Linked DNA regions of Pelodiscus sinensis. The protein of the gene in region 2 interacts with the protein of the main gene of each other region in a pairwise test. Links are inferred from orthologs where the notes say so. Each region holds a gene or a part of one and is shown on either strand. Other genes may lie near its edges.

Evidence for each region.
Region 1: the proteins of RGL2 (region 2) and RAP1B interact in a two-hybrid assay, tested with the Homo sapiens proteins (2 studies listed by BioGRID and IntAct). The link is inferred for Pelodiscus sinensis from reciprocal best matches to the Homo sapiens genes RGL2 and RAP1B.

What each region holds. Positions count from the first base shown.
Region 1 is NC_134711.1:63,350,500-63,361,255, reverse strand, and holds the start of RAP1B (ras-related protein Rap-1b), read right to left. Parts: upstream 4,527-10,756; 5' UTR 4,350-4,526; intron 3,581-4,349; exon of another isoform or gene 3,515-3,580; intron 1-3,514. UniProt on the Homo sapiens protein: GTP-binding protein that possesses intrinsic GTPase activity. Contributes to the polarizing activity of KRIT1 and CDH5 in the establishment and maintenance of correct endothelial cell polarity and vascular lumen.
Region 2 is NW_027465970.1:40,409-50,726, forward strand, and holds the start of RGL2 (ral guanine nucleotide dissociation stimulator-like 2), read left to right. Parts: upstream 1-5,559; 5' UTR 5,560-5,697; intron 5,698-6,344; 5' UTR 6,345-6,402; coding exon 6,403-6,519; intron 6,520-7,608; exon of another isoform or gene 7,609-7,868; coding exon of another isoform or gene 7,869-7,946; intron 7,947-8,030; coding exon 8,031-8,099; intron 8,100-10,318. Other genes in the region: TAPBP (tapasin), read left to right, coding at 1-61, 427-516, 961-992, 1,958-1,969. UniProt on the Homo sapiens protein: Probable guanine nucleotide exchange factor. Putative effector of Ras and/or Rap. Associates with the GTP-bound form of Rap 1A and H-Ras in vitro.

The sequences.
Region 1 (10,756 bases), on a different chromosome or scaffold from region 2:
TGTCAACCTCGCAGAGCCTAAGCAGTTTGAAAAACACTGGTCTACCCAAGGCAGGGCTTATGTGGCTCCTTTTAGGGATGTTAAATATTGGTTCATTGATTAGTCAAGTAACCTCAAATTCTTATTGGTTAGTCAACTATTCAATAGTCCCTGGGGCAGGGATGGCAACCAGTGCGCTCCGGCCTTACTCCCAAGAAGCCCCCTGCCATTCTGTGCTGCTGCCTCTATATCAGAGGCAGCAGCACAGGGTGCCAGGCGAGAGCGGGTCCATGAGGGGAGCCTGTTTAAAAAACAACTCCCCTTACGTCACAAGCCACAACTGAGCTGGGCAGCTGGCCAGCCTGCTAAAAAATTTGTTGGCGGGAGGAGAGGGGGAAATGCATGTAATCTATAGCATTAACCTATAAACTTTTGCTTATCAGGGGTTAACTGACACTATTACATCTCTAGCCCCCCACATGTAATAAAATTGGGCACCACTATTCTGAATTGTGCTTTAATGCCATTTTTGTCTACAAGGAAGAATGGGGGCGGGGGGGAGAGAATGCCATTTTTGTCTACAAGGAAGAATGGGGGCGGGGGGGAGAGATTGTTGAGTTAGTTGTTTTAGTTGATTCTGATTACAGAACTAGCTGTTAGACTATTAGAGTACTGAAGTTTAACTTTCTTCTCTTTCAAACCTCTCAAGATTTTTTATTTTCCTTTTTGTGGGCTTATTCGCTCCTAGATTAATACCTGTGCTGCTATTCCAGCAAATCTCAAACAAAACTGAAACAGTAGTCCACTTTACTTGATACCAACATTTTCTCCAACAGCACAAAACAGAAATTGGCTCATACTGGCTAAATTTTACTCCAGGTCTTGAATTGTCCTAATAATGGGGGTTTAAAATAAGGTAGTATGTATACATCCCACATGGCAATAGTACAGTAGAACCTCAGAGTTAAATATACCTGAGTTACAAAACAGACTGGTCAACCACACACCTCCATTTGGAACCAAAAGAACACAATCAAGCAGCAGACAAAAAAAAAAACACACTATACATTACTGGTACATATAAAGGATTTGACAAAGTAAGGAAACCATTTATGTGCTTGTTTTTGTTCAAATTATGATTAAAATCAGCAATTTCTTCTACATAATAGTTACAAAGACTATCACATCAATGTTAAGCTGTAAACTTTTGAAAAAAACAGTCAAGATGTTTTGTTCAGAGTTGTGAGCATTTCAGAGTTACAAGTCACCTCCACTCCCAAGATGCCTGTAACTGGGACACTACTGTTGTCAGTACCCACTCAGATTAACACTAACAAGATTACCACGCCTAAAAGAAGAGTTTTGTTTACCTTCTGAACATTTTATAGCACTCTGTGATAATCAATTTCATCATACCCTCTGTATAGTCACTTTACCCTTTTGTTGGGTCTTTTTTTATAACAATGGAGTCAACTAATATGTGAACAATATAGAAACATAAAACCATGAAAACTGGTAGTCAATGGGAGACTATTAGGATGGCGTGTGTGGGCAAGGCGTTGGAGCACCTCCTCCACACAAAGGGTGCTCCTCAAAGTTGCTTTGAGCAACATGTGGGTCTATAACAGGAAGGGAGCCTGTCTGAGGGTCCCGCTGGACTACAGCAGGACAGATCTAGCCTGCAGGCTGCCCGTTGTAGGCTACTGGCAATTGACAGAGAAAAAAAAACTAGAATCCTGAGCAAAATAAGTGAAAAACATTTAGAAGCACTGAATTCAGCACTTTACTTAGGTTTCCATCTAAAATGTATAAGTCAAAAACTTTTAAACTGGGCATTAAGATGTTTTAAGTTTACCAAAGATAGAAAAGTCCATTCCAGTGTCAATGTGTGACCTTGTATTAAGAAATATAACTGTCTCATTTGACTAGTTATTGTGCAGTACACGACATAAGTTGGTAAAAATAAGTAGGGCAGTCAGGAACAGGAGTGAGCAATAATTGTTCATGGAGGGCCCACTCCAAGATCTGGTAAGTGGCCAAGGACTGCACTTTTCTATGGATGTGGTGCAGAGTCTGAGAGGTTGGATACAGAAGAGAGCTAGGGGTAGGGGACTGGGATGCAGGAAAGTGTGGGGTCTGAGAGGAAGTTTGAGTGAAGGAGGAGATTGCAATCAGGGGCAGATGAATGGTGTGTTGGGTCAGGGAGAGAGAATGGGTGCAGAAGAGGATTCTGGCTTGGAGTACAGAGTCTGGGAGGGAGTTGACCTGGAGGAGGGGGGTGCAGAGGGTATGGGTGGTGACCTGGGACAGGAAGTTGGGGTATAGGAGGGAGTAGAATGGCAGAAGCAGGCTCCAGCAGGTAGCTGCTTACCTAGAGGGCTCCCTGCCAGCAGCCCTGCAGGACCCCAAGGCAGGCACCCTATCTGCTGCAGCCCTATGCTGCTCAAAATGGCTGGACACTCCCCATGACGCTCTGCTTCAGGCAGAGCGAGGAGAGGAGGATGAAGTGGCTTTGCACGTTGCCACTACCCCCACCACAATTTCTTAGCTCCTACTGACCAAGCAATAGGGGCTTAAAGTGGTGTGGAGCTGCTTTGCGCCCCAGGATCCCAGTGCGAAGCCCACAAGTTGGATTCAGCCCACATCTTGCCCACCTCTGGTCAAAAAGCATAGCTGAAACTCAGAAGTGTTTACTCAAAAAAAAAACCTTGGAATTTGTGTACATGCTATGAAAGAGCCTTGGAAAACATCAATTCCATTAGCTTTGTCTGACTATTTTAACACACACCTATTATGTGGCCCCACATATACAAGAACTGGTTGCTAGATTTAATTCAATGTGTCATCAAAACTTCCAGATGTGTGTCCAAAATCCACTAAAACGCTTGGTTTATGATGTTGTCTAAATCGTCTTTTTTGAAGCCACATAAAGTTACACACTTATACCACAATATAGAAACTCTTTTCAAAATGAAGAGTCATATTTTCTAAATAGCATTTATTAGCCATTCATTTAAAAAAGTCAAAGAACATCAACATTTCAGTAAATGTTGCATAGTCCACTTTGTCAATTTGGAATACAGTATAATCATCACTTCCTGAGAAGCCTAGATGGTTTCAACAAAAATACCGGACACACTTGACATTACATTACATCTTATTTAGAAAACATTTATATTTTCTAAATTTGTTTCCCAAACAGAAAGCACAAATACTGGATTGTGCGGTTTAAAACTGGACACCTGGCAACCCTAGCAAAGCCTAATTATATTCTTCTGCAGCATAAATTTTGACAACATTTTGACAACATGCTGGTGGCATGGCAATCTTTCTAAAATATTGTGGGGTTGATGCAGAAGTTATTGAGTGTGGTTTTTAAGCCAGTATTGTGTAGAAATTCAAACTAGATAATCATGATTGCCCCTTACAGGCTTAAGACCTTTTTTCCAGACTTAAGACCTTTTCTTAAGGTCTGGTGGGGACAAGGACCAGAAGATTCATAAACATTAAAATGACTGCAGTGTTGTCTATTTACATTGCAAGCTCTTTCTGGGCAGGTTCCGTGCCTTCTTAGCCCCACGACCAAAGTACAGTTGAGGCACTATATAAAACACAGAAAACCACAAGTTTTAAAGCAAAAAGAGCTCCTGGCATGAAGAGAGAACCTGTAACAAGGTAAGATCCAGCACAGTCTCAATGCGTTACCCGTGATGCCCAGACTTTGGGGGCCGACACCATGGCCGGAGGATCGCCTCAGTCCAATACAAGTGACGAGGCCTATGGTGCCAGGCTGGTGGACACTCTCCCACGCCGAGGGAGGATGATGGAAACTGTGAGCAGCAGCGGCTGATACGGCCGGACTAGGTGGGGCTGAACTCAACTTCCCACAGCGAGCTGCCACCGCGGGAGCGAGAACTTTTCTTCACAGCTCGCCCGCCCGCCGCCCCTGACCCCCACCCCGGCCGGCCCAGGCGAGCAGCTCAGAGCTGCAGGGTTACAACTTTCCGCTTCCGCTCCAACTTCGGGGCGAGCGGGCGGGCGGGCGCCGGGCACCCCCAGCGCGAGGGGCGGGGGAGCGAGCAGCAGCCAAGCCCCAGACTCCGGCCGCCCGGGTGTCCCCGCTGCCGGGCGCAGGAGGCGGCGGCCGCTCTCGGTTCCTGCTCCGCCATGTTCAGGCACCGGCCCCCTGTCCGCACCGCGCGCTCTTCCCGCCGGCGGGGCCGCCGCCCCGGCCCCTCCACCCGCCCCGCTCCCACTGCCGCGGGGCCACCTGCGCCAGACACACGCCGCTGCCGCAGCCACCGCCCGCCCGGGGCTGGAGCGGCCCCCTGCTAGGCCCGGCCGCCCTCTCCCCCGCCACCTCCGCCTACCGGACAGCGCCGCCGCCGCCGCCGCTCCCCCCAGTCGCCTCCTGCCCGGCCGAGCCTGCTCCGCACGCCCGCTCCCTCTCGCGCTGCCGCTGCCTGGGCGAGGCTTGGAGCCGTCGTCGTGACGCCGCACGCCGAGCCTCGCTCTGGTTCCCCTACCCCGTTCCGGCGGCGGCGGGGGTGGGGGGGAGAGGAGGTAACTTCGCCGCCCTGCTTCCAAACTGCGCACGCGCGAGCCCCAGCCTCGCTGCGCACGGTCCCGCCCTCGCTTCACGCAGAACCTCTCCCCTCTCGCGCCCATTCCGGCCGATTTCCGCTCCCCGCCCGCATCGGGTAGTGGCGGGGGGAGGGGCAGGCACGTCTCCCTGCCAGGGTCCCGGGGTGGGGCCGAACTGATGGAGGGTTGCGGGCAAACAGGGCAAAGAGGCGCAGGGGGGAGGATGTTCTTGCACTGCCTCACTCCCTGTGCTTTGTACTAGGCATGCAATAGTGTAGCTGATTAACCTGTAAGCAAAAACTTAGAGGTTAATGCGATGAGTTACTTGCATTTCTCCGCGCTCCCTCCCCCTACTCAGTACATTTTTAAGCAGGCTAGCCAGCAGCCTGGCTCAGTCCTAGCTTGCCACAAGTCTGGCACCTACCCGTGCTGTGGCTCTGCATTTAAAGTGCATTGGGGCTGGGCCGGCAAACAGCCCAGCTCAGTTCCAACTTGCACGGGTCCAGGAGCTCAGACTTCCACCCAGACAAGAGCTGCTGCCACCCTATGCTGCTATCTTTTTAGCAGAAGCAACAGCACAGGGTGACAGGAGCAGGAACTGTTTTTTAAACTGGCTCCCCTCACAGACCAACACCTGCCTGATACTCTGCACTGATGCCTGTGATATAGAGGCAGCAGCACGGAGTAGCAGAGGGCTCTTTAGGAGTGAGGTGCACTGGCTGCTGGACCCCACCCCCGGGGGCTATAGAATAGTCAACTAACCAATAAGAATTCATAAGGTTAGTCGACTATTCAGTTAAGTGATATTTAACATCCCTAGTTTGTACCTGCTTGTGACCCACATTTGCAGTATCTGTAGACGTTGGCCCCCTAAAAGCTCTTTCTTCACCCACCTTGTTTGTTTATATGGAGTCATTTTTACCCCCCATGCACCATGTCACACCAAATGGTTCTCACTGACTTGCTCCGTTAGCCGCAACTGCCAGCATGCTCTGAGGGCTCAGGCCTTACCGTACTACCCTCTTGCCTGCCCCATTCGGGAGTAGGATTTGCATAATTGCAAATGACTCATGAATGGCATCCATTGGCAACTTATGTAGGCAAGGGCAGGCATTGCCTTCCCACAAAGACCAAGGTGGTCCCACCCATGCTCATGTACAGCTGCTGTAATAGGCCAAGGAAGGCAATGCCTTTGCCTGGTGCTGTCACCAACCCACTGCAGGACAACTAGCACACAGTCCACCTTTAGGGCAGGGGGAGCTGGCACTTGGAAAGGCTGCTGGCAGCTTGGCCCAATGCTAAGAACAATCTGGCACTCAGGGAGAGGGGATGCAAACAGGCACTGGGTGCAGCCCGGTGCGCAGGGGAACAGAGGTTCAGTCTGGTGGGCTAGGAGGGAGGGTAGTAGCAGCAGCAGCTTGGCCCATTGTGGCTGGGGTCAGGCCAAGGATCCTTTGGTCTTCAGGCTCCTCCTTAAGGCTTTTCTTTTTACAGGCAGGGGGAGAGGCTTTAGGGCTCTAGCATATGGGGACAGGGTCTTAGGGAGCAGGTGGGCATGCCTCTTTAAAGCAGTCATTCACTTGTCATCCATGCCCAGCTGGGAAAGCTGAGGCCATATGGCTTCCTGGCAGGCCAGGAAGGCTGGGGCATGGCTGCCCAACTGCTCCTGGGGCTGGAGCCTGAGCCACACAGCTGCCCTATGGATCAGTGTAGCACCAAAGCTATCTGGCTGCTCCAGAGTCTGAGGCTGTGTGAGAACTGGGGCTGTGCAGCTGCCCGGCACTGGGGGAGGAGGGGAGGCACTAGCCTTAGGCAGGGGCCAGCAGCCATGCTAGTGGGGCTGGGGTGCAGGGCAGAGACCTGTCGCCAGGTGGGCATAGAGTGGTCAGGGGCAGGCTGGGACTTCGTCCCCAAGTCAGTTGTTCACCCACTATCTCATATTGGTATCTGTATCCTTGTCATAGACTGCCTCAGAGTTTGGGGAACAAAATGAAGTCTTCCTGTGGTATTGCCATCAGTCAGGAACTGAAATAGAAGGCTAGTTCTAGGAGAATTTTGTCTAGCAATGTAGGAATTGCCCTATCTACTGGATCAGCATTATGGTCTGTATAGTTTTGTTTCCTATGTGTCTCCAACCTAGGCAAGCATCAGATTCTTCAAAAAGAAATGTAAGAAATCCCATATAAGGGGTTATAGACATATAAGGAGGAATCTGTTTCCCCACCAAGGTTTTAGCCTAATTTTAATAGTTATAGATTAGTTAAAACCATGAGATTGGTTTAAATCCTGGTCTCAACCTATGAAGAAAATAACTTTAAATTATTTTTAAAAATCTGTGGGGAAAATGTAACATTAACATTAACACAAATGCATATATCCCCAATTCTTACCCACATTTGTGCTCTGAGATCCTTGGATAATTGGTGTCATATAAATACAAAATATTATTCTGGACATACCTTATTAAGCCTTCCAACACTTACAATTTATCATTAGCTTCTATTGCCACAGGGCAGGAGACCTATTGAAGTTGAAGGACCTATGACCTTTCTTGATCCTTCTCCTCCAATTTATTAGTGTAAAATTGTCAAATATCAAAATGCCTTTTTTCTTAAAGTCACAAGTGTTCTCTCTCATTTGAATAAAATATTTTTAAAGACTTAAGTATTACAAATAAATTACTTATGTATATGATAAATACTTTGTAAGCAAATGGTTAACCTGTGTACAGATAAAGCTCTTGCTCAGAGGAAGTTCACCACAGAATACATGAAACTGACAGGAAGTTGCATTGAGGTTGTTGGCAAAGGGAGTGGGTGTGGAGGAAGTACCGGCTTTCTGTTTGCAGTACAGAGATAGACAAGAGGAAAAAAAGGATATATTTCCCCAAATTGCATGCTAGTGGAAAATTATTTGAAGTCCATAAAACTCATGATAAATTTATAGTAAATACTATCAGAGCATTGGAGCAGAGGTGGTAAAAGTGCACCAAAAGAGCATACAAATCTCAGTATTAGATGTTCCCTCTGGATTTAAGGCACCAAGCAAGTGACACAGAAATTCTTACTTTTACCTTAAAATATTTTTCTTCAGAGCATTGCACTAAAATAAAATCCAAAACATCATAAAATCTCTTCCAAAGTCTAGACAAATGTCTTGATGTTTTACAGCTAAAACCTGTACAGTACTTTGATAAAACTAGCTAAAAAATAACAACTTTTTAAAAGTACATCAGAAGCAGGAAGACTTCTAAACTTCCAGTGGGACCACTAGATGATCGAGATGCTAAAGGAGCACTCAAAGATAATGTCATTGTGAGAAACTAAGGCTACGTCTAAACTACAAAGATTTTTCGAAAGAGGATGTACAAATTCCTTTTCTGATCGCATTTTTGAAAGAGGATCTTTCAAAAGTGAAGGTAGTCTGGATACGGGGTGTTTTTTTGAAAAAAAAAACCTTTTTGGAAAAAAAACGCTCTTCCTAAAAAAAGGATGTTTACACAGTTTTTGAAAAAGGTTTTTTCCCCGAAAAAAACACGTCCAGACTACTTTCACTTTCGAAAGATCCTGTTTCGAAAATGTCATCAGAAGGAATTTGCATATCCTCTTTCGAAATCAAAACATAGTCTAGACATGCCCTAAATGAATTCTTTGCATTGGTCTTCACGGCTAAGGATGTTAGGGAGATTCCCAAATTCTTTTAAATGACAAATCTGAGGAATTGTCCCAGATTGAGGTGTCATTAGAGGAGATTTGAGAACAAGTTGATAAACTACCCAGTAACAAGTCACCAGGACCAGATAGCATTCACTCAACAGATCTAAAGACTCAAATGAGAAATGTGGAACTACTAACTGTGATTTGTAACCTAACATTTAAATGTGCTTCTGTACCAAATGACTGGAAGATAGCTAATAAGATCCTTTTTTGAAAATTGATATCACAAGTAGGGATGTAAGCAACGAGTCGACTAGAGATGTGACTAGTTACTTCCCCCCCTTGCTGTCTCTATCAGAGGCAATGGGGGGGGGGGGTGAGTATGAGAGAAAGATCAGGAGCTGGTGCTGGTGGGAGCTGGCTTAAAAGCTGGCTCCCCCCAGCATCATCTCTGGGAGGGTTGGGGAGGTAGAGATGTTGTACCAAATAAAAGCAAGCAGGATCTTATGAGGGGGATAAGGCAAAAAGCCACATTTATTGTAAAGATAATAAAAATAAAGAAAAGATAGAAGCAAACAACGTTGTTTAACTACTTATTCCTATCACTACTTAACCCTTATACACTTGTGTGTATATATATATATATATATATATATATATATATATATATATATATATATATATATATATATATATAACCATTCATTCATACATCCATTCATTCAAGTTCTGTGTATAGTTACCAGCCTGGAAGTTGCTTGTGACAGGATACTGGCCAGGTACTCTGTACACAAGTGATGGTAGTGGGGAGCGAAGTCCTGATCAGATGTGCATCTGAAGCTCCTGGTAGGCTGGCAGCAGAACCTTGGACTCTGATTCCATAGTTTTTTAGTCCAGTTCTTATAGGAATTTCTTCCTATGCCAGTCTATGGAAATTGCTGTATCATGCTGATGTCTCCAGGGTGGCTGCCAGGTGCTCATCAGTGAGCTCATCGGGTGGACCTCCAGTTTCTCCACTTGACACCTTTTGGTTGCACTGGCACCTGACGCCTTCTTCAGCCCTTTGTTGCTGTATTCTCAGGCTGGCACCTCTTAGAACCATTCACTCATCATCCAAGCACTCTCTCTCTTACATACATTCCTTAATGTTTCCCATACAATGTTTTTGTATAATAATAACTTTACATATATCAGAGTTGTAGTTACAAAAAGTTTCTGGTAATAATAACTTTACATATATCAGAGTTGTAGTTACAAAAAGTTTCTGGGTGGTATTGCTTAAAACATTCTCTGAGTGCTGAGTAAAGTTACAATGTTTTAAAGAGAACAGGCGTCAATTAAGTAACAATGCCCTTAGTCAATTACAGGGCTTGGCTCCCATAGCAGAGTTAGTGGTTTGACAATGCATTGTTACAATGTATCTTTGCAATGTCAATTTCAAGCAGCCCCTTGCACAAACTTGAGCATGCCCTGGAGCACAGAGGGGGGGGGGGGGGGGGCTGTTTCTGGTTACATAGGATTATATTTTTAACAGTTCTAAGTTACATTACCTAATACATTATATTCTAAAGGGGCAATAATAATCATAAATCTAAACATTTAACAATCTTAACAACTAATAATAATAATAAGAAGAATCCTAATAAATCTAAACACTTTAAGTTGTGGAGAACAAATTATGGGGAGTCACTTCCATTTGGGGGAATCACATTTTTAATACATTAATATGTTATCCCTACAGAGAGACAGTGGGAAATGGCATGAGCGGATACTGAAGCAGTCTCCACTTGCGCTGCTTCTGCTGCGATTCTGCTTTTGAAATGTACAAGAGCCCCAGTGGGTTAATGATTGGTCTATAAGGGCACCTCCGCCTTTGAATTATAGCAAGAGTCCAACAGGGCTCTTGTACATTTCAAAAGGAATTGTCAGACACAGAGATTAACATATTTTATTGGGGAAAGTCAACATTAGTTTCTGTAAAGGGAAAAATCATGCCTCACTAACCTACTAGAATTCTCAGGGGTGGGGAGTGTCAACAAGCATTTGGACAAAGGAGATCCACTAGATATATTTGTGACGGGGTGTGGTTACAGAAGACCCCTTTGGGGATGCTGACAAAGCCACTGACACTCTCCTTGCTCTTTGGGGCTCCTCATTACCCTGTCCTGCTGGGCCAGATCTCCTGGTCTCCTCCAGCCAAAACACAGAGCTGAGATCACCTCCCCTTCCCCTTCCCCTCCCCTCCCCCAACAAAAGAGCAATACTGACACTGAACTTCTTCAGGTCTGAGGAGAATGTAATTTTGAGCACAGATTCCAGGAAACCCCCTCTCCAAATAGGATCAGAACTCATTCAGGTAAACCCCCTTTAATGGTGAAAGGAGGATGTACACACTAATTGCTCTCTCAGGTAATTATTTACACTGGGATTGGTAGTAAATAAAAGGGATTGTATTAAGTAGAAACAGTAGGATTTAAGTGGTGTGGCAAGGTCAGTTCCATTCCTGGGGCCCAGACCCCTGTTTCAGTACACAATTC
Region 2 (10,318 bases):
CACGTGACCCACACTGCCCTGGCCACGCCTGTCCGGAAGAGTGTCCAGCTCCGTGTGGCAGGTGGGGCCGGGGCCAGGGGCCATGGCAGGCAATGGGCGGGCTGAGGAGAGAGCAGGGAGGGGGTGACTCTGGAGGTGGGTGCTGGGGGCTCAGGGGGGATGGAGGGGAGAGCGGGGAGGGGGTGACGCTGGAGGTGGGTGCTGGGGGCTCAGGGGGGATGGAGGGGAGAGCGGGGAGGGGGTGACGCTGGAGGTGGGTGCTGGGGGATCGGGGGGATGGAGGGGAGAGCAGGGAGGGGGTGACGCTGGAGGTGGGTGCTGGGGGATCGGGGGGATGGAGGGTAGAATGGGGAGGGGGTAGCACAGGGCATGGGGGGAGGGCTGCCGTGGGGGGGTGTCTCAGTCTCACACACGCACCTGCCCCAGGTGCCACGGGCCCCTCCCTGGAGGACGCCATCGGGATGTTCCTGGCTGCGTTCCTGCTCTACGGGCTCTTCCGCTTCCTCGGAAACAAGGGTGCGTCTCCCCCCAGTGTCACGCCCCCCCAGGTCCCACCTACGCCCCCCACCTCCTCGAAAACAAGGGTGTCCCCCCCAGCATCACCCTTCCCCCCATGCAAATCCTCTGCTACAAAGGTCAGTGCTTCCCTGGCCTCATTCACCCGCCCCACCTCCTAGCAGCCCCCTGCCATCTTCCACTGCACCCCCAACCAGCCAGCCTCCTCTGCAATATCCCCCCCTCTGACTCCCTGTGCCTGCCTCTCCCCCAGCTACCCCCGGCCTGCCCACTGCATCCCAGTCCGCCCCCTGCACCTCTCTCCACCAGAGCTGCTGTGTCCCAATGTCCCTCAGACCCCCCAGCCTCGCCTGTACCCCCATGGACAGGGCTATAGAGCACCTGCCCCCCGTTCTCACTGCTCCTGCCGGGGGTGGCTCACTCCTGTCTCCCTTCCTTTTTCAGTCTGCCCAGCCGGAGCTGAAGAGAAAACCAAGGTAAATACCCCCCAGCCTGTGCCCCACAGCGCTCCTGCCCCTTGCCCCACAGCGCCCCCCTGCTGGGCGAGGCTGGGCGCTCCTGCCCCACAGCGCCCCCTGCTAGGCGACACTGGGAGCTCCCCCTCCACAGCCAGTGTCTTGCCCCTCAGCACCCCCTGCTGGATGAGGCGGGGAGCTCCCCTCCCCCTATCCCCCACAGCCAGTGTCCTGCCCCACAGCGCCCCCTGCTGGGCGACACTGGGAGCTCCCCCTCCACAGCCAGTGTCCTGCCCCTCAGCACCCCCTGCTGGATGAGGCACGGAGCTCCCTTCCCCCTATCCCCCACAGCCAGTGTCCTGCCCCACAGCACCCCCTGCTGGATGAGGCGGGGAGCTCCCCTCCCCCTATCCCCCACAGCCAGTGTCCTGCCCCACAGCGCCCCCTGCTAGGCGACACTGGGAGCTCCCCCTCCACAGCCAGTGTCCTGCCCCTCAGCACCCCCTGCTGGATGAGGTGGGGAGCTCCCCTCTCCCTATCCCCCACAGCCAGTGTCCTGCCCCACAGCGCCCCCTGCTGGGCGACACTGGGAGCTCCCCCTCCACAGCCAGTGTCCTGCCCCTCAGCACCCCCTGCTGGATGAGGCGCGGAGCTCCCTTCCCCCTATCCCCCACAGCCAGTGTCCTGCCCCACAGCACCCCCTGCTGGATGAGGCGGGGAGCTCCCCTCCCCCTATCCCCCACAGCCAGTGTCCTGCCCCACAGCGCCCCCTGCTAGGCGACACTGGGAGCTCCCCCTCCACAGCCAGTGTCCTGCCCCTCAGCACCCCCTGCTGGGCGACTCTGGGCTCTCTCCCCCAGCCAAGTGCCCTGCCCCACAGCACCCCCTGCTGGGCAAGGCCAGGAGCTCCCCCCACAGTTAGTTCCTGACCCACAGTGTCCCCTGGATTTTGTGGTGTGATTCTTACATGACGCTTCTCCCCACAGAAATCAGAGTGAGACATGCCAAGGGCAGCGGAGATTTTGGGGCCTGATCTGTGACCCCCAAAACAAGACTGTGACCCCAGGACAGGAACCAGTGTTGTGGGGCTCAATGGACAGTGAAGGGCAATTTCCTCTCCCCTATGCCCGCTGTGCCGCCAGGCCCCACCCCCATCCTCCCTCACCATGCAGCCGCCTCCCCTGCTGCTCCCCCTGCCCCTCTTGGCCTGCTTTCCCCATGCCTCCCCTGCTGCCCACCCCCCCCCCCCCCCCGGCACACGGCCTGCTCTGGGAAAGGTGGCGGCTGCTGTTCTGCACTGTGGGGCCTTTGGCCCCAGAAATAAAGCTATTTTCCTGGGACACCCCAACTCCTGCCTGGGCCTCGTCATCTCTCAGCCCCACCCCCCTGGAGCCTTCCTCAGCAGAGAGCTGCACCCCACGCCCCCATCTCCTGCCTCAGCAGGAAATCTCCCCTCCCGGCGCATCCCTGGGCCCTCCTCGCCAGGGCCCCTCAGGTTCAGAGACCCAGTAGCAAGGAGTTCCACAGGCCCTTCCCGACATCTTTTGCTATCTGAGGTTGCTCCCATTCCCCTCTGTGATAGGGGGTCTGGTATGTCCTGGTCTTTACTCCCCCCCTTCCCTGTCTAAGCTCTGCCCGCCCCAGCTGGGCTTGTAAGGGGCAGTGGGGCAGAGGGAGGTGTGACTTCCTGCTGCAGGGAGACAGGAAGGCAGCCCTATTGTTTGGCTTCCTCCCCTCTGGGGCCAGGGAAGAATATAGAGACCAGAGGTCCCAGATCCCAAGTGGAGGAGGGAATATATGGACTGGAGTACTGGGAAACATGGATCTGGATCCCAAGGGGAGGGGAAAGTGTATGGACCAGAGAGCTGGGAAACATGGATCTGGATCCTGAGAGGAGGGGAGAGTGTATGGACCGGAGAGCCAGGGAACACGGATCTGGATCCTGAGAGCAGAGGAGAGTGTATGGACCGGAGAGCTGGGAAACACGGAACTGGATCCTGAGAGGAGGGGAGAGTGTATGGACCGGAGAGCCGGGAAACACGGAACTGGATCCTGAGAGGAGGGGAGAGTGTATGGACCGGAGAGCCGGGAAACACGGAACTGGATCCTGAGAGGAGGGGAGAGTGTATGGACCGGAGAGCCGGGAAACACGGAACTGGATCCTGAGAGGAGGGGAGAGTGTATGGACCGGAGAGCCGGGAAACATGGAACTGGATCCTGAGAGGAGGGGAGAGTGTATGGACCGGAGAGCTGGGAAACACGGAACTGGATCCTGAGAGGAGGGGAGAGTGTATGGACCGGAGAGCTGGGAAACACGGAACTGGATCCTGAGAGGAGGGGAGAGTGTATGGACCGGAGAGCCGGGAAACACGGAACTGGATCCTGAGAGGAGGGGAGAGTGTATGGACCGGAGAGCCGGGAAACATGGAACTGGATCCTGAGAGGAGGGGAGAGTGTATGGACCGGAGAGCTGGGAAACACGGAACTGGATCCTGAGAGGAGGGGAGAGTGTATGGACCGGAGAGGTGGGAAACACGGAACTGGATCCTGAGAGGAGGGGAGAGTGTATGGACCGGAGAGCCGGGGAACATGATTTCAATGAGGGGAGGGAGATAATATACAGACAAGGGAGGTATATGGTGCACTGGAAAACGAGCTGGATCTTGGGGGTGGGAGGAGACTGTATAGACTGGTGAGCTGGGAAATGTGGATCTGGATTTCAAGGGAGGGGGAGTATATATACAGACAGCTCTGGAAACACGGATCTGGGTCTAGGGCGACATACGAAGCTGGATCCCAAGGGGAATGCAAGACTGGAGCACTGGGAGCATGGAGCCGGATCCCAGGAGAGGGGGACACATGCAGGCATGGAACAGAGCAGCATAGCGGGTTGGTCCCCGGTTCTGGGACTCTCTGGCCCCGGCTCTGTCTCCTCCGGTCCGGATTTTGTCACGCTCTGCTCTGGGTTTCATGTCACTTCCTTTCTGGACTAGCTCCACCCCAGAATTTCCATCTCCCTGGTAGGCTCTGGGCCGGGCTGTCTGTCTCTGGTTCAGGTCCCTCCCGTTCAGCTCCGCCTCAGGCTTTGGGACTCCCCACTGGCTCTGCTCTGGGCTTTACTGTCCTCAGCCCCTGGAGCCATTCCCAGGCCGGTAGAACTCCGGGTTTTGTGTCTCCCTGCTGGTTCCTGCTCTGGGATTCCTTCCTGCTGCCCCGTTCCCTCCCGTCCCTCGCCCCAGCCCCAGGATTTCCTTCCTTCTGCCCCCATTCCCTCACCTCTCTTGCTCCAGAGCCAGGATTTCCTTCCTTCTGCCCCCATTCCGTCCCTTCCCTCGCCCCAGCTCCAGGATTTCCTTCCTTCTGCCCCCATTCCCTCACCTCTCTTGCTCCAGAGCCAGGATTTCCTTCCTTCTGCCCCCATTCCCTCCCTTCCCTCGCCCCAGCTCCAGGATTTCCTTCCTGCCCCCATTCCCTCCCTTCCCTCGCCCCAGCTCCAAGATTTCCTTCCTTCTGCCCCCATTCCCTCACCTCTCTTGCTCCAGAGCCAGGATTTCCTTCCTTCTGCCCCCATTCCGTCCCTTCCCTCGCCCCAGCCCCAGGATTTCCTTCCTTCTGCCCCCATTCCCTCCCTTCCCTCATCCCAGCTCCAGGATTTCCTTCCTTCTGCTCCCATTCCCTCACCTCTCTTGCTCCAGAGCCAGGATTTCCTTCCTTCTGCCCCCATTCCCTCCCTTCCCTCGCCCCAGCTCCAGGATTTCCTTCCTTCTGCCCCCATTCCCTCACCTCTCTTGCTCCAGAGCCAGGATTTCCTTCCTTCTGCCCCCATTCCGTCCCTTCCCTCGCCCCAGCCCCAGGATTTCCTTCCTTCTGCCCCCATTCCCTCCCTTCCCTCGCCCCAGCTCCAAGATTTCCTTCCTTCTGCCCCCATTCCCTCACCTCTCTTGCTCCAGAGCCAGGATTTCCTTCCTTCTGCCCCCATTCCGTCCCTTCCCTCGCCCCAGCCCCAGGATTTCCTTCCTTCTGCCCCCATTCCCTCCCTTCCCTCATCCCAGCTCCAGGATTTCCTTCCTTCTGCTCCCATTCCCTCACCTCTCTTGCTCCAGAGCCAGGATTTCCTTCCTTCTGCCCCCATTCCCTCCCTTCCCTCGCCCCAGCTCCAGGATTTCCTTCCTTCTGCCCCCATTCCCTCCCTTCCCTCGTCCCAGCTCCAGGATTTCCTTCCTTCTGCCCCCATTCCCTCCCTTCCCTCGTCCCAGCTCCAGGATTTCCTTCCTTCTGCCCCCATTCCCTCCCTTCCCTCGTCCCCAGCTCCAGGATTTCCTTCCTTCTGCCCCCATTCCCTCCCTTCCCTCGTCCCAGCTCCAGGATTTCCTTCCTTCTGCCCCCATTCCCTCACCTCTCTTGCTCCAGAGCCAGGATTTCCTTCCTTCTGCCCCCATTCCCTCCCTTCCCTCGTCCCAGCTCCAGGATTTCCTTCCTTCTGCCCCCATTCCCTCCCTTCCCTCGCCCCAGCTCCAGGATTTCCTTCCTCCTGGCCCCATTTCCGTCTCTCTCTAGCTCCGGGTTTTCCTGCCAGCCCTCATCCCCTCCTCTCCATGGCTCCAGCTCCGGGCTTTCCTGCCTGCATGGCCCGGGGCTCTGTTCCTAGGCTGGGTTCAGCTCCGAGGCTTCCGCCCCGCCCTCCCAGCCTTGCCCCGGGTTAAGCAGCAGGGAGCCGGGTGCCCAGGTGGGTGTGCACGGGGGCAGCGGCGAGCGGGGTGCAAGGGAGGATGCGGGGGCGGGGTGCAGGGGGTATGTGGGGGGGAGGAAGTGGGGAGCAGGGGGTGAGTGGGGGGGAGGAAGTGGGGAGCAGGAGGTGGGGGGAGGAAGTGGGGAGCAGAGGGTGTGTGGGGGGGAGGAAGTGGGGAGCAGGGGGTGTTTGTGGGGGGGAGGAAGTGGGGAGCAGGGGGAGAGGTGAAGTGGGAGGAAGTGGGCACCAGAGGGTGCCGGGGGGGGGGAGGAGGTGGAGAGTGGAATAAGGGGTACAAGGAATGTGCTGGGGAGCAGGGGGTACAGGGAGGGGTAGGGGTGCAGTGTGAAATATGGGGGTGCAAGGAGGGGGAGGGGTATAGGGAGTGTGTTGGGGCGGGGAGGCAGAGTGTAATATGGGGATGCAGGGAGGGGGTGCAGAGTAATATTAGGATGCAGGGAGGGGGAGGGGTATAGGGAGTGTGGGGGTGCAGACTGTAATATGGGGGTGCAGGGAGGGGACAGTGGCTGTGGAGGGTGAAGTGGGAGGAAGTGGGGAGCAGAGGGGTGCAGGAGGGAGGGGGGACCAGGGCACCCCAGATAATTCCTAGAACTGCCCTCCCTCCCTCCCTCCCTCTCTCTCAGTCCCGGACCTCGCCTGACACCCTTCCCATGACTCCTCTGTGGGCCTGAGACGCCCCCCATGCTGCCCCGCTCCCTGCGGCACCTGCTGGAGGGGGCCCGGCTGGAGCTGGAGGGGGACCAGGGGGTCACTCTGAGCGCCTTCCGGAGCTGGTCCCCTGACCCCCCACAGCCGCAGGTGAGATGGGGCTGAGGGGAGGGGTGTGCTGGGGGTGGTCCGGGGGTGGTTAGCTGAGGCACTGTGGCAGCAGTCAGGGTGTGTGGGACAGGGGGAAGGGGGGGTGAGGGTCTGTGTGGTGTGGGTCACGCAGGTGTGGGGGGGTCACACCTGTGTGGGTTTGTGAGTGCTGGGAGGCGCATGTTGGGTTGTCACAGCCTTGGCGTGGAGAGTCCCGGGGAGCTGGGCGCTGGGGCAGCCTCTGGGAAATTCCTGCGCCACCCAGCTGATTAGCCCACAGCTGGGTTTGTGTTTCTACTGGTGGTGCACAGTCACATGTGCCTTGGTGCGCATAACAAAATTATTCCACATGTGGATGGGACACATTACCAGGAACTTGACTGTGTGTGTGTAAGATCAGACCTGTGTTGTAGGTCACACCCTTGCTGCGTGTGACACGCGGGGGTGTGTGGTGGTGTCAGACGGGGGGGCCTTGCTGGGCTGCGTGGTGGGAAGAGTGTGCTGCGGGGTCACACCTTGGCGAGCAGCGGGTTGTCCTGCAGGACCTGTCGCTGGTTGTCACGGTGTGGCTGATTCAGCGTGTGGTTGTGTTGGTTTGGCTAATAGTCGTGCAGCTCGCCAGGGTGCAGGGTGCTCTGGGGGTGTCAGTGTTGGGGGCTATTTGTGATAAGCGGGGGCGGCCAGTGGGGCACTTTCACTTCCTGTCCCACAGCCCCCTTGGTCCCCATCCCGCTCAGAGGAGGCTGCCCAGGGGACGCAATCCGCCCTGCGCTGGGGGATGGGGTGGGGCAGGTTTGGGGAAGTGCCTGGGGGGCAGGGCGGGAGTGGGAGGGGCTGGAGCAGACACAGAAGGCGGAAGCAGCAAGGGAGACTGAAAGAGAGAAACTGAGACAGACAGAGTCCGGGAGGGGGGAGTGTGGGGGGCAGGGCCAGACAGACAGAACCGGGGGGGGGGGGGGGGGGCAGGGCCTCACAGACAGACAGAAGGGGCGGAGCTGGGCCAGACAGACAGGGGGAAGGGGGGGAAGGGGGGCAGCAGGGCCAGACAGGGAGAAGGGGGGGAAGGGGGGCAGCAGGGCCAGACAGGCAGGCTGGGGGGTGTTGGTGGGGGGGGAGGCTGTCTGTCTGTCTGTCTGCATGCCCTGGCCCTTGTGTGTGAGAGGCTCACTGGGTCACGCTGCCCCCTAACCCTGTCCCTCCTGTCTGTGCCCCCCCACACCCCCGAGCCGCCCTGCCAGGCCCCACAGGCCTGTCCCAGAGGGCTGTGGAGATTGGGGGGTCTTGGCTGGGAGCCCCTCCCCCACGCGGCGCCCCAATGAGCAGGACCCAGTGACCCCCGCGGGGGGGCCATGAGGGCGTGCCTGGGGCTGGAGGCTCCGGGGGGCGAGGGGCCGTCCCGCACGCGCTGGTACTGCCTGCCTGTCAGGGTGAGTGGGGGCAGGCGTTTCCGGGGGACGATCGGCTGCGGTGGGGGGGCAGCGATACCGGGGTAACCCCCCTCTCTGCTCCAGCCCCCGGTGACCCTGACGGAGGAGGCTGAGGAGGGGGTGACTTACACGGTGACCGTGCGCCAGCCAGGGGTGAGTGGGGGGCTTGGCTTGGCTCTGGGGGGATGTCCCAGGCTGGCTCTGGTGCTCTCTCCCATAGCTCTGGGGGGAGCCAGGCTGGGACAAGGCGGGGGGCAGGCTGGCTGACTCTGTGCTGGCCCTGGGGTGGGGTGCGGCCAGGCCAGGCTGTGGAGGATTAGGGGGGTGGGCTGGATTGCTGGGGGCCAGGCTGGGTGACTGGGGGGCTGTGGGGCCGGGCCAGGCACTGAGAGGTCTGCAGGGGCCAGGTTAATGGATATTCCCTGCAGGCCCCAGGGGGGGCGCGGTGCCCGTGCTGGTGGCTCAAGACCCGGTTGCTGGGGGGGTCCAGGCTGACAGACTCCCCGCAGGCTCCTGGGGGGGACGCCCTGTGCCGGGTGCTCAAGACCGGGTGCTGGGGGGCAGGTTGCTGGGTGTTGGGGGAAGTCGCTGGGTTCTGGGGGGGTCCGGGCTGACAGACTCTCCCTGCAGGCCCCTGGGGGGGGGGACGCCCCGTGTCAGGGGCTCACGGCCCGGTCGCTGGGGGGGTCCGGGCTGACAGACTCTCCCTGCAGGCCCCTGGGGGGGACGCCCCGTGTCGGGCGCTCAAGGCCCGGTTGCTGGGGGGGCAGGTCGCTGGGTGGGTCCGGGCTGACAGACTCTCCCTGCAGGCCCCTGGGGGGGGACGCCCCGTGTCAGGGGCTCACAGCCCGGTCGCTGGGGGGGCAGGTCGCTGGGTGGGTCCGGGCTGACAGACTCTCCCTGTAGGCCCCTGGGGGGGGCGCCCCGTGTCGGGCGCTCAAGGCCCGGTTGCTGGGTGGGTCCGGGCTGACAGACTCTCCCTGCAGGCCCCTGGGGGGGGGCGCCCCGTGTCAGGCGCTCAAGGCCCAGTCGCTGGGGGGGCAGGTCGCTGGGGGGGCAGGTCGCTGGGGGGGGTCCGGGCTGACAGACTCTCCCTGCAGGCCCCTGGGGGGGACGCCCCGTGTCGGGGGCTCACGGCCCGGTCGCTGGGGGGGCAGGTCTCTGGGTGGGTCTGGGCTGACAGACTCTCCCTGCAGGCCCCTGGGGGGGGCACCCCGTGTCGGGCGCTCACGGCCCAGTCGCTGGGGGGGGCAGGTCGCTGGGGGGGGGCCAGGTCGCTGGGGGGGTCCAGGCTGACAGACTCTCCCTGCAGGCCCCTGGGGGGGACGCTCCGTGTTGGGCGCTCACGGCCCGGTTGCTGGGTGGGTCCGGGCTGACAGACTCTCCCTGCAGGCCCCTGGGGGGGGCGCCCCGTGTCGGGCGCTCAAGGCCCGGTTGCTGGGTGGGTCCGGGCTGACAGACTCTCCCTGCAGGCCCCTGGGGGGGGCGCCCCGTGTCAGGCGCTCAAGGCCCAGTCGCTGGGGGGGCAGGTCGCTGGGGGGGCAGGTCGCTGGGGGGGTCCGGGCTGACAGACTCTCCCTGCAGGCCCCTGGGGGGGACGCTCCGTGTTGGGCGCTCACGGCCCGGTTGCTGGGTGGGTCCGGGCTGACAGACTCTCCCTGCAGGCCCCTGGGGGGGGCGCCCCGTGTCGGGCGCTCAAGGCCCGGTTGCTGGGTGGGTCCGGGCTGACAGACTCTCCCTGCAGGCCCCTGGGGGGGGCGCCCCGTGTCAGGCGCTCAAGGCCCAGTCGCTGGGGGGGCAGGTCGCTGGGGGGGCAGGTCGCTGGGGGGGTCCGGGCTGACAGACTCTCCCTGCAGGCCCCTGGGGGGGACGCCCCGTGTCGGGGGCTCACGGCCCGGTCGCTGGGGGGGCAGGTCTCTGGGTGGGTCTGGGCTGACAGACTCTCCCTGCAGGCCCCTGGGGGGGGCACCCCGTGTCGGGCGCTCACGGCCCAGTCGCTGGGGGGGGCAGGTCGCTGGGGGGGGGCCAGGTCGCTGGGGGGGTCCAGGCTGACAGACTCTCCCTGCAGGCCCCTGGGGGGGACGCCCCGTGTCAGGGGCTCACAGCCCGGTCGCTGGGGGGGCAGGTCGCTGGGTGGGTCCGGGCTGACAGACTCTCCCTGTAGGCCCCTGGGGGGGGCGCCCCGTGTCGGGCGCTCAAGGCCCGGTTGCTGGGTGGGTCCGGGCTGACAGACTCTCCCTGCAGGCCCCTGGGGGGGGGCGCCCCGTGTCAGGCGCTCAAGGCCCAGTCGCTGGGGGGGCAGGTCGCTGGGGGGGTCCGGGCTGACAGACTCTCCCTGCAGGCCCCTGGGGGGGACGCCCCGTGTCGGGGGC